Arabidopsis thaliana: one gene and its partners. The protein of the gene in region 3 binds, or shares a complex with, the protein of the main gene of each other region. Each region holds a gene or a part of one and is shown on either strand. Other genes may lie near its edges.

The links.
Region 1: PSRP3/1 (region 3) and rps8 share a complex: the UniProt entries of both Arabidopsis thaliana proteins name them as parts of the 30S ribosomal subunit.
Region 2: PSRP3/1 (region 3) and rps4 share a complex: the UniProt entries of both Arabidopsis thaliana proteins name them as parts of the 30S ribosomal subunit.
Region 4: PSRP3/1 (region 3) and rps15 share a complex: the UniProt entries of both Arabidopsis thaliana proteins name them as parts of the 30S ribosomal subunit.

Annotation. Positions count from the first base shown.
Region 1 is NC_000932.1:79,517-82,451, forward strand, and holds rps8 (ribosomal protein S8), read right to left. Parts: upstream 957-2,935; coding exon 552-956; downstream 1-551. Other genes in the region: rpl36 (ribosomal protein L36), read right to left, coding at 1-86; rpl14 (ribosomal protein L14), read right to left, coding at 1,180-1,548. UniProt on the Arabidopsis thaliana protein: One of the primary rRNA binding proteins, it binds directly to 16S rRNA central domain where it helps coordinate assembly of the platform of the 30S subunit.
Region 2 is NC_000932.1:44,710-47,806, forward strand, and holds rps4 (ribosomal protein S4), read right to left. Parts: upstream 1,120-3,097; coding exon 514-1,119; downstream 1-513. UniProt on the Arabidopsis thaliana protein: One of the primary rRNA binding proteins, it binds directly to 16S rRNA where it nucleates assembly of the body of the 30S subunit. With S5 and S12 plays an important role in translational accuracy.
Region 3 is NC_003070.9:25,756,870-25,760,299, forward strand, and holds PSRP3/1 (Ribosomal protein PSRP-3/Ycf65), read right to left. Parts: upstream 1,543-3,430; 5' UTR 1,301-1,542; coding exon 1,076-1,300; intron 1,000-1,075; coding exon 724-999; 3' UTR 558-723; downstream 1-557. Other genes in the region: AT1G68585 (uncharacterized protein), read left to right, coding at 42-155, 235-316, 403-557; AT1G68600 (aluminum activated malate transporter family protein), read left to right, coding at 3,078-3,384. UniProt on the Arabidopsis thaliana protein: Component of the chloroplast ribosome (chloro-ribosome), a dedicated translation machinery responsible for the synthesis of chloroplast genome-encoded proteins, including proteins of the transcription and translation machinery and components of the photosynthetic apparatus.
Region 4 is NC_000932.1:122,766-125,219, reverse strand, and holds rps15 (ribosomal protein S15), read left to right. Parts: upstream 1-1,657; coding exon 1,658-1,924; downstream 1,925-2,454. Other genes in the region: ndhH (NADH dehydrogenase subunit 7), read left to right, coding at 2,028-2,454.

The DNA of each region.
Region 1 (2,935 bases), on a different chromosome or scaffold from region 3:
TTGGAACAAATTACTATAATTCGTCCCCTCCTGCGGATTAGTCGACACTTTTCACAAATTTTACGAACGGAAGCCCTTATTTTCATAGTTGTTATTCCTTAATTCTGTGAATATATTTATTGGTGGACGAAAAAAAGGTTTCTTGATATTTTTGAATCTTGAATTGTATCTTCGTGAAAGGAATGGTTGAAATTGAAAAAACACTTACTCATTTGAATACTTATTATGGAGTCTAGAAAATGGCTGTCCCCTTATTAACTTATACTTAAGAACTTACTCAAAATTTTACCTTTTTATCCTATAGGTATACCTATACAAAAATATGTCGAATCCTTTCAGAAGCATGAACGAAAAAAAATCTTTAGTATCTAAACAAAATCGAACCATGCCGTTCGGAAGTGATTAAGAAAGAAAACTTTTATTAATTCATTTTTTCTTTAATTTCATTCGAAGTAAAACATCCGAAACTTTTTTGAACAGGGGTGGTATTACACAACCCCCTTTTTTCACAAATTGTAAGTTACAGATATCTAATTTTTATATTAGAAGGATTACCATATATAACACAAAATTTCTCCGCCGATTCTTTTTAGTCGAGCTTCTCGGTCTGTCATTATACCTTGAGAAGTCGAAAGGATTACAATTCCTATTCCGCCTAAAATTCGTGGAATTCGTTGAGAGTTAGAATAGATTCGTAGACCCGGTCGACTTATTCTCTTTAAATTTAAAATCGTTTTGTAGGATTCTTTCTTATTTCGTCTATGTCTTAGGGTTAAAATCAAAAAATATTGGTTGTTTTCGCGATGTTTCCTTACGTTTTCGATAAAACCCTCTCGTAAAAGGATTTTAACAATACTTTCCGTGATGTTAGTCGATCCTATCCGAACCGTTCCTTTTCTATTCATGTCAGCATTTCGTATAGAGGTTATTATATCAGCAATGGTGTCTTTCCCCATGATAAGTTAAAATTCCTTATTGTTCTATAATTTTGATATAATCAACATGTTCTTTTTCTTTTATTTATATATAGATATAGACGAATTATATATTAATATATGAATTAAATTCTTAATATTTTATTATTAAGGGTATATGCGTGATACAGAATCTATTAATTAATTTTATTTCAATACCTGTTTTTTTAATCCGATACTAACTATCGCTATCGATATTTAGATCTTATAATACCTCAGGAGCTAATGAAACTATTTTAGTAAAGTTTAATTGTCTCAATTCCCGTGGGATCGCCCCAAAAACTCGAGTTCCTTTTGGATTTCCTTCTTGATCAATGACAACTGCGGCATTGTCATCATATCGTATTATCGTCCCATTGTTACGTTTGAGTTCTTTACAAGTACGTACAATTACAGCTCTAATCACTTCTGATCTTTCTAGAGGAGTATTTGGTATTGCTTCTTTGATTACAGCAACAATAACGTCACCAATATGAGCATATCGGCGATTACTAGCTCCTATTATTCGAATACACATCAATTCTCTAGCCCCGCTGTTGTCTGCTACATTCAAATAGGTTTGTGGTTGAATCATATCATTTTTTTTGTATCTCTTCTTTTAATGCAAAGGACGAAGTAAAAAAATATTGTTTGTCAAAAAAAGAAAACTTATAATCTTTTTACCCTTAAATGTTATTTAGTTTTTTCATTATATATTCCTATTCAGAAATAATGAATTGGGTTTTTATAGGCATTTTTGATGCCGCTATTGAAATAGCTTTTCTTGCTATATTTTCGGGTACACCACCCATTTCATAAAGGATTTTACCTGGTTTAACCACAGCTACCCAATACTCAGGGGATCCTTTCCCAGAACCCATACGCGTTTCCGCAGGTCTTACTGTAACTGGTTTGTCTGGAAATATACGTACCCAAATTTTTCCACCACGTCGTACATTTCGTGTCATTGCGCGTCGCCCTGCTTCTATTTGTCTAGATGTGATCCAAGCGGGTTCAAGTGTTTGAAGAGCATATCTGCCAAAACAAATACGATTCCCACGAGAAGATATTCCTTTTAGTCTTCCTCGATGTTGTTTACGAAATCTGGTTCTTTTTGGGTTATAGTTGATGGTTCTAAATTAGAAATTCCATCTCTACTACAGAACTGAACGTGAGAGTTTCTTCTCATCCAGCTCCTCGCGAATAAAAGGACTAAAAAAGCTTGTATTAAGATATAGTTAATGATTAATTCTATTAATCATGATATTCAATTTCATCTGATCTCTTCTAAATTTGTGTATGTCTTTTTCGAAATGGAATCCAAGATTAATTCTATTTATTTAAAAATAACGTAACGTAATATCATCATCTCGAATGTCGTTTTTGTTAGAATATTCTAACAAATCCTTATTTTCTTTTATCTTTTTAATTTTTGTTTTTTATTACTTTTATTAAAAAAAAAGTATTCGCCGGCGAATATTTACTCTTTCAATATCTATATTAAGTTTGTTGTTTATCCCAGGAGATCTCTGAATAAAAATAAGAATAGATAATAATCTGGTTTATTCCGCCATCCTGTCCAATGAATTACTAAGATTTATTTTTCAATAGAATCCTCTATATTCATGGGTTCCGTCGTTCCCATCGCTTCTTGATTAATCATTAGGCCCGAATTCTACAATGGAGCTCTTATATGAAATCGGGAATTTCATTTTTTTTATTTGTTTTTGAGTCAATTTTCTTAGTTTTTATTGGCTCAAGGCTCTTAATTTTTTTTGTTTTCGGAACAGATTTATCTAATTATTCTGAATGAATCTGTATTGATGCTTTATTACATTGCTTTTCTTACAGTGACCTCATAGACTTTCCAAATTGGAATAATATATCATTAATATTCAATTTTTTCTCTCTTTCTTTCATCCTTCCACTGAATCCGCATACTTTTCGATTACCTTTCATAACTTATAATTATAGTTCTTTAT
Region 2 (3,097 bases), on a different chromosome or scaffold from region 3:
AAAAACCTTCTATCTACTTCCAAATTTTCCGGTCAAAAAGGGTATCTATTAACCATAATCTAAAAAACGATGAATAACTCGCTATTCACCCAGATACTCAGTCATAATCTTGATGTCGGAGAGATGGCCGAGTGGTTGAAGGCGTAACATTGGAACTGTTATGTAGACTTTTGTTTACCGAGGGTTCGAATCCCTCTCTTTCCGTACTTTCAACAAATTCACCAATCTTACGTGATTGACCACAATGTATCAAATCCAATAAAAAAGAATCGATATAAGATCTACCTTGTTTTGATTTTGAAATAGATTCTCTATTCCTAATTTCTTTCATATGGAAAATGCTGGGAAGAGCAAACAAGGGATCCCAATCTCCCTACCAATCTATGATACATGAATAGGAAAAATATTCTTTGACAAAATCCCTTACCTTGTGCCTTTTTATTTTTAATGGAAAAGGGGAGTTGTCCGAACTCTTGTTTTTAGTAATTTTTTTTTTTACTTAAGTTAGGTTTATTAAGTCTGTCGAGAGTAATATTCTACGACAAGCAATTCATTTATTTTCAAACCGACGCATTTCCTATCTATTATTTGATTGACTAACCCTTCATATTGGAATGTGTGAAGAGTCAGATGGTTTGGCAATTCCTCAGGGGCAGATGAATCAAGAAGATTTTGAACCAAAGTTCTAGAGTTTTGTTCATCCTTCACTGTAATAATATCTCGGGGTTTGCAGCGATAACTTGGTATATCAACTATACGACCATTAACTAAAATATGTCCATGATTAACTAATTGGCGCGCTTGAGGAATAGTCAAAGCCATACCCAATCGAAAAAGGATGTTATCCAAACGCATTTCAAGTAATTGTAGTAAAACTTGACCTGTTGACCCCTTGGCTTTTCCGGCTATACGCACATATTTAAGTAATTGGTGTTCTGTAAGACCATAATGAAAACGCAATTTTTGTTTTTCTTCTAAACGAATACGATATTGAGATTTTTTTACGGAGCGTGATTGGTTTCTAAGATCGCTTCCTGCCTTAGGCCTTTTACTAGTTAGTCCCGGTAAAGCCCCCAGACGGCGTATTTTTTTAAAACGAGGCCCTCGGTAACGTGACATAAAGACTCCTTTTTTGATTGAAATTGTACAAAACTAAATAAAATTAAAACTGAACTAAATGATAATGATAAATGACGTGAAATACACTCCACTATTGGAATACAAAGAGTAAGAAGATATATTCTCTCAATATACAGATTTTTTTTATTGTATATACAATATATATAAATCAACTAAATCACAAAAATTTTCCTTTATTTTCTTGATTAATTTTGCAAAGATCAAACTCTTTTACCCAATATATATTCCTAATATGGAAGTTTATATGACATAATATAAATGGAGTGGTAACTCTTGGAAAAAGGTCAAAGAAGTCTTTTCAATCTTCTTTGATTTTGAAAGTACATTAAAAATCATGTAAAAAAAAACGAAAAAATATGGAAAAGCCGGCTATCGGAATCGAACCGATGACCATCGCATTACAAATGCGATGCTCTAACCTCTGAGCTAAGCGGGCTCAAATAAAATAGCGCATGCATACAAATTCACTAAACTACTAGATCGTATCAATTAACTATTCTATTAATATTTTTCCTTATCTAGTTAGAATTAATGATATTCTATATATTCTAGAACAGAATATAGCTCACATAAATAGTGACTATCATTCATCATTAAATAAATAAAACATAACCTTAATTCTATATATATATCTATATAGTCATAGAATAGTATAGAATTATTAGAATTTCAAATTTACGAAGTAGACTTATAATTTTTTTCCATTGCACATTGTAGAATTCTAAGTTTCAATAATAATAATAATAAATTTCTTTTCATGAAAGTAAAAAAAAAAAAAAGAATCGACCGTTCGACTATTTCTGAAAATTTAAGCCAAAGATGAAAAAAAAAAGAACATATATATGTTATGTAATATATAACCATATTGAATTGCAAATACAAAAATGATAGAATCTTTGTTGATTAGACTAAATCAATATGGATGGAGCTCAAAAAAATAAAAGAAGATAACAAAGACATAAAATAAGTATCTATAATGTAATGAATCCCGAGGTTTCGGCATAAGAAAAAAAAGGAAAGACATCATAATGAGATCCTAAAAAAGGGGATATGGCGGAATTGGTAGACGCTACGGACTTAATTGGATTGAGCCTTGGTATGGAAACCTACTAAGTGATAACTTTCAAATTCAGAGAAACCCTGGAATTAACAATGGGCAATCCTGAGCCAAATCCTGGTTTACGCGAACAAACCGGAGTTTACAAAGCGCGAAAAAAGGGATAGGTGCAGAGACTCAATGGAAGCTGTTCTAACAAATGGAGTTCACTACCTTGTGTTCATAAAGGAATCCTTCGATCGAAACTTCAAATCAAAAAGGATGAAGGATAAAAACCTATATTGTATAAATTTAGGTAACACAAAACGATCTCAAAAATGACGACCTGAATCTCGATTTCTATTTTTTTATAAACAAAATCAAAATGTTGTGAATCAATTCGAAGTTTAAGAAATAATATTTCTTGATTAAAATAAAATTATTCACTTCATAGTCTGATAGATCCTTGATGGAACTTAATTAATCGGACGAGAATAAAGATAGAGTCCCATTTTACATGTCAATACTGACAACAATGAAATTTATAGTAAGATGAAAATCCGTTGACTTTTAAAATCGTGAGGGTTCAAGTCCCTCTATCCCCAGCTCTACTCCCCGAAAAGGTTGACACCTTACCTTTTTTTCGTTATTATTTATTTGAATTATTTATAATCTATATCATTTTTCATTTTCAAACTTAGAAAGTCTTCTTTTATTTATAAAATCCAAGAAATTCCCGGTCCACAACTTTTTGAATTTACTACTTTTGAGTTTCTTTTCATTGACATAGACCTAAGTCATATATTAAAATGATACTGATACTTCAGTAGATTATACTTCGGTAATGGTACACATAGCTTAATTGCGGGGGACTGAAAATCCTTGTGTCACCATTAGTAAAAGCAAGATGATCCTTCGGTA
Region 3 (3,430 bases):
ATTTCCTGTTTTATCTATCTTCTCTGTGCAACGAGAGTGTCATGGCTACTCTGTCTCAAATCGTCGAGGAGGAACTTGAACCATCACTAAGAAGCAAGCTTTCAAGAACAAGTGAAACCAGTCTCGCTTCTGTCGCATCGTTATCCATGCCACTTGTTCGTTACTCTCTTAACACTTTTGTCTTAGAATGATTCAACTCTGTGGATTCTTTTAATTGATCTTGTGTGTTATCAGATTCAGGAGATTGTTCTATCAGCAGACATCAGATGTAGTGACTGCCAAGAGAAAGTCGCCGACATAATGGCGAGGATGATCGGTGAGTATATAGCTTACTTACTTCCGAGATGAGACACTTTTTTGTTCTTTCCTCTCACGCTTGTTTCCTCTGTTTTCTTGGAGCAGAAACATATTCAATATTGGTGAGTGTGTTGGAGAAGAAAGTGACACTAACGTGTACATATTCCGGTGACCGGAGAGTCTCTAAATCCTATGGTGAAGCTCTTCTCTGCAAAATCTCAACCATCAAGCGTTTGATATGTCCTTCAAGGAAACAATAACTCAGAGTTGCTTGATGTTTGCTTTTATTATCATTTTCTCTTTCCAATAAAATGAATCTTTTATGTCGAATGTGATTGGATATTGTTTAGATAAACAAAAAACTCTCAATAGCAATAATAATCATAGACAAAGTGAATTCTTGAAATGCAGAAATCAAAAAAGAGATTATTGAGAAGTTAAATTGCCGCCACTTTGTTGCCAGAGATTGATGATATCAGTGGCTTGGTTTAGAAGAATGATCATCTTCTTCTGAGAGATCCATGGTTTAGCTTCAAGAGTAGACTTAAGCTCTTCCCAAGCATCTTTCCTAGGCCAGAAGAAGTAAGGACTAAGTGGGATTGTGCCATGTCCAGGTACATGTTGGTCCAATCCTAATCCTATGTTCTTCTCCATCCACACAAACTTGAGTACCACTCTTGATTTCTCATCTGGCTTCACCACCTAACACAAACAACAAAGATTTGTGGGTTTTGTAACACAAGAGACAAGAAGATGAAGAAGAATATGTTGTTTTTACCTTTATTGTTTGTTGTGGAGTGTTGTCGGAAGTATCAATTCCGGTGACTGTTTCAGCGGTGAGTGTCTCTGGAGCTGCTAGAGTTATGATTTTCCGTTTTACAGAGATGGGTTTGGTTGTTTGGGTATGGAACAATGGAGGAGAAGCAGTGATGGAGAGTTTTGGATGTTGAGAGATGAAAGAAGAGCAGAGGGAAGTAGAAGAGAGTGCCATTGATGACATCATTTTTGTGTTTTCTCAGAGAACAATGGAGATTTTGTGAGAATATGGATAAGGAAGATATGGTCACATTTTTGGGTGGAGTTTCAAAGTAGTTTGACTATCAAATTTATGGGCTTTGTTGACTTGGCCCATCATTAAATGGGTCAAGAATACAGAGTTTATTATAAGCCCATGAATACAAACCTGAAGCTTTGAGAAGTAGACTTTTAAAAATACAGACTCTGTTTCAAGTATTTTCGAGGGACTAATTCAAAGATCTCAACATATAAGTATTAATCATATCATATTTAATTCGAATGACATTTGACAGCCACAAGTATTTATACAAAAATTAAAAACCTCATCTTTGTTTAGTGTTCATGATTTGATCAAAGTCAATAAATTTTTTTGTGTGAAATAAATTTTTGTATTAATCAAAACACAATTTTTAACAAAATATAATTATCGATATTGTACGCTGCAAGATGTCCTCAATTTGTTTTATTTATTTATCAAAAACAAATAATTGTTGAGAAAGTGGCCTTTACATTATATATGTCACATGATTCTTTTTACATTATGTCACATGATTCATCTTAAAAAATCGTCTTCTTTATTTTCACAGGTTTGCTGAGGCCAAAGAAGAGTCTTTCTTTGGACTTGAAGTAGCACTGGATAGATGAGATGAGAAAGCCTTTAAGGAGAAAGACACCATGATGGTCATTCATGAACATCATTCGATGAGTATATATAGTAAAAGTTTGAAATACTTCTTACATCGTAGTTATTATATAATGTGCACACGATATTTTTTATTTTCAGCATACAATAATTGGATAAAACAATCAAACTCACCCAAAATACATAAATAATTGTTGTTTCTCAAAAAAAAGTAGGAAAAATCTCATGTGAGGGTGGGTACACTGTGTAGGGTAGGGCTTGGCTTTTGAGCATAGTTAGGAAGTAGTAAGATGCGATGCGGTAGTAAGTAGGAGTTTCAAAATGTCACATTCACACAAGTCACGACCATGAAACTTGTCGTCTCTTTGATACTTGCAACTTCTCCAAAACTGTGGGTCTGTAATTCAATTATTAGAGTCTTGAACTTGAAGAGACTTTAAGATATGTGTGTAAATTTGTTCACCGTCACATTATTGGTCCATTTACATTACACACGTCCACTATAGTTAATTCTCAGGTTGTTTATCCATAGATATCTGTTGTTATTTCTGCGACACTTTTACTGGTCACAATGAATTATGTTGATGTTTAGATTCAACAAAAAAACTTACTAAATCGGGTAACTATGAAAAAATATTATGTAGCTGAGCCAAAAAGGTAAAGTCTACAGTTTAAGAAACATTAACACATTGAACAGAAATTAAGAAATAATATAATTCTATTTTTAATTTTTTTACTGAATAACTAATAGTCACAAAAAATCATATTACGGCCTTACCGGTCCATTTATGCATTACTGGTCCACAAATGTAAATTCTCACGTTTTAAATTCCATCTGTTTCAAAAAATTTGGACACTTTTGGTGGTTAATATGTTAATGATTAGATTTCAACCAAAAACATCAAAGTTATAAATCGGACAATTATTAAAATTTGTAATGTAGATGCACCAAATTGTAAATTTTTTAAAAAAACTTGATTATTTAGAGATGATGAATCGAAGGCATGCATTAATTGCGTAGTACAAAACAAATCTTGATAAATAGATAAATAAACATCTTTCTATTCGTAAGGACGACAAGAATCTCTCAGGTTCTGTAGAATTGTCAGAATCATTTCTAATGGGAGGTAAAATGGGATCAGTACCGGAGCAAAACACAGAGAAGCTTCTCTGGCAGTCAAGCGACGTCGCTGATAGCCGTGACTCCAAGTTCCGGTGTTGCTCGTGGAGGGCTCTCTACGAGGCTCCGGCGAAGTTGTACGCGCTGGGACATTCTGATCGTAGGAAACTTTACTTCTCCATCAAGATGGGAATTGCTTTGGCACTCTGTTCTTTCGTCATCTTTCTCAAAGAGCCGCTTCAAGATGCTAGTAAATTCGCAGTTTGGGCGATTCTCACCGTCGTTCTCATTTTCGAGTATTACGTCGGTATTGATTCTTAACTCATAGCCTAGTTTATGATCCTTTGATTGGA
Region 4 (2,454 bases), on a different chromosome or scaffold from region 3:
ATATTTGGATTGGAGAATTCTTAACTTTTGGTTTACAAAAAAAGTAACTATTGAGCCTTGGGTTGATACTAAGAGTAAAAAAAAATATATTAATACTAAAGTTCAGAATTATCAAAAAATTGATAAAATAACGCAGACGGATCTTGCTAATAAAAAAAGAAACTTTTTTGATTGGATGGGAATGAATGAAGAAATACTAAATCAGCGTATAACAAATTTTGAATTTTTTTTCTTTCCGGAATTTTTCTTATTTTCTAGTACATATAAAATGAAACCATGGGTCATACCAATCAAATTACTTCTTTTAAATTTTAATGAAAACATAAATGTTAATAAAAAGATCATTCGAAAGAAAAAAGGTTTTATACCATCAAATGAAAAAGAATCCCTTCGATTTTATAATCTGAATAAAGAAGAAAAAGAATCGGCCGGTCAAGTAGAACTTGAATCAGATAAAGAAACAAAAAGAAATCCCGAAGCAGCTCGATTAAACCAAGAAAAAAATATTGAAGAAAATTTTGCAGAATCAACAATAAAAAAACGTAAAAATAAAAAACAATACAAAAGTAATACAGAAGCGGAACTTGATTTATTTCTGACAAGATATTCGCGTTTTCAATTGCGATGGAATTGTTTTTTTAATCAAAAAATTCTCAATAATGTAAAAGTATACTGTCTCTTGGTTAGACTAAACAATCCAAACGAAATAGCGGTATCTTCTATTGAAAGAGGAGAGATGAGCCTAGACATTCTAATGATTGAGAAAAATTTCACTTTTGCAAAATTAATGAAAAAAGGAATATTGATTATTGAACCTGTGCGTTTGTCTGTACAAAACGATGGACAACTTATTATATATAGAACCATAGGTATTTCATTGGTTCATAAAAATAAACACAAAATAAGTAAAAGATACAAAAAAAAAAGCTATATTAATAAAAAATTTTTTGAAAAATCCATTACAAAATATCAAAACAAAACTGTAAATAAAAAAAAAAATAATTATGATTTCTTTGTCCCTGAAAAAATTCTATCCCCTAAACGACGTAGAGAATTTCGAATTCTAATTTGTTTCAACTTAAAAAAAAAAAATGCTAGGGATACAAATTCAAGATTTGATAAGAATATTCAAAACTTGACCACCGTTTTGCATAAAAAGAAAGATCTTGATCTTGATAAGGATAAAAATAACTTAATTAATTTAAAATCCTTTCTTTGGCCCAATTTTAAATTAGAAGATTTAGCTTGTATGAATCGCTATTGGTTTAATACTACTAACGGAAATCATTTCAGTATGATAAGAATACGCATGTATACGCGATTTCCAATTCCTTAATCATAAATACTTTTTACTATATATAATAAGTTACGGTATATGAAAACAACTATATGCACAAATATGAGGGATTGTTTTAAATTAAATCTTTATACATGAGATTAATTTAATCAATCACATAGATACCAATTATAGCGGATTCATAAATAAATTAACAGAATCCTTCTTTTTGAGATCTAAATTTAGATTTTTTTCTAAAATGAAGAATTAAGAGGTTGATAATTAAATTAAGATCCTTGTACAAAAAAACTACCATTATTATTACTGATCAGTAAAATTAATATCTTTCAATTCATATTAAAAGGGGAAGGATTTCTTTTTATGATAAAAAATATAGTCATTTCATTTGAAGAACAAAAAGAAGAAAGCAGGGGATCCGTTGAATTTCAAGTATTTAGTTTCACTAATAAGATACGAAGACTTACTTCACATTTGGAATTGCACAGAAAAGATTATTTATCTCAGCGGGGTCTACGAAAAATTCTGGGAAAACGTCAACGACTGCTGGCTTATTTGTCAAAAAAAAATAGAGTACGTTATAAAGAATTAATTAATCAGTTGAATATTCGGGAATTAAAAACTCGTTAAATTCAAAAATTGTGAATTAGTGAATTTTTTAGATCTTGAATTTTTTGATAAACTTCTTTATTCAGAAATCTAATTCATGCCAGAACGAATCAAGGAAAAACTTATGAAGAGACCAGTTACAGGAAAAGATCTTATGATAGTCAATATGGGACCTCACCACCCATCCATGCATGGTGTTCTTCGCTTAATTGTTACTCTAGATGGTGAGGATGTTGTTGACTGTGAACCCATATTAGGTTATTTACACAGAGGAATGGAAAAAATTGCAGAAAACCGAGCAATTATACAATATTTACCGTATGTAACGCGATGGGATTATTTAGCTACTATGTTTACAGAAGCAATAACAGTAAATGGACCAGAACAATTGGGAAATATTCAAGTTCCTAAAAGGGCCAGCTATATCAGAGTAATTATGCTGGAATTGAGTCGTATAGCTTCTCATCTGTTATGGCTCGGCCCTTTTATGGCAGATATTGGTGCACAGACTCCCTTTTTCTATATTTTCAGAGAACGAGAATTTGTATATG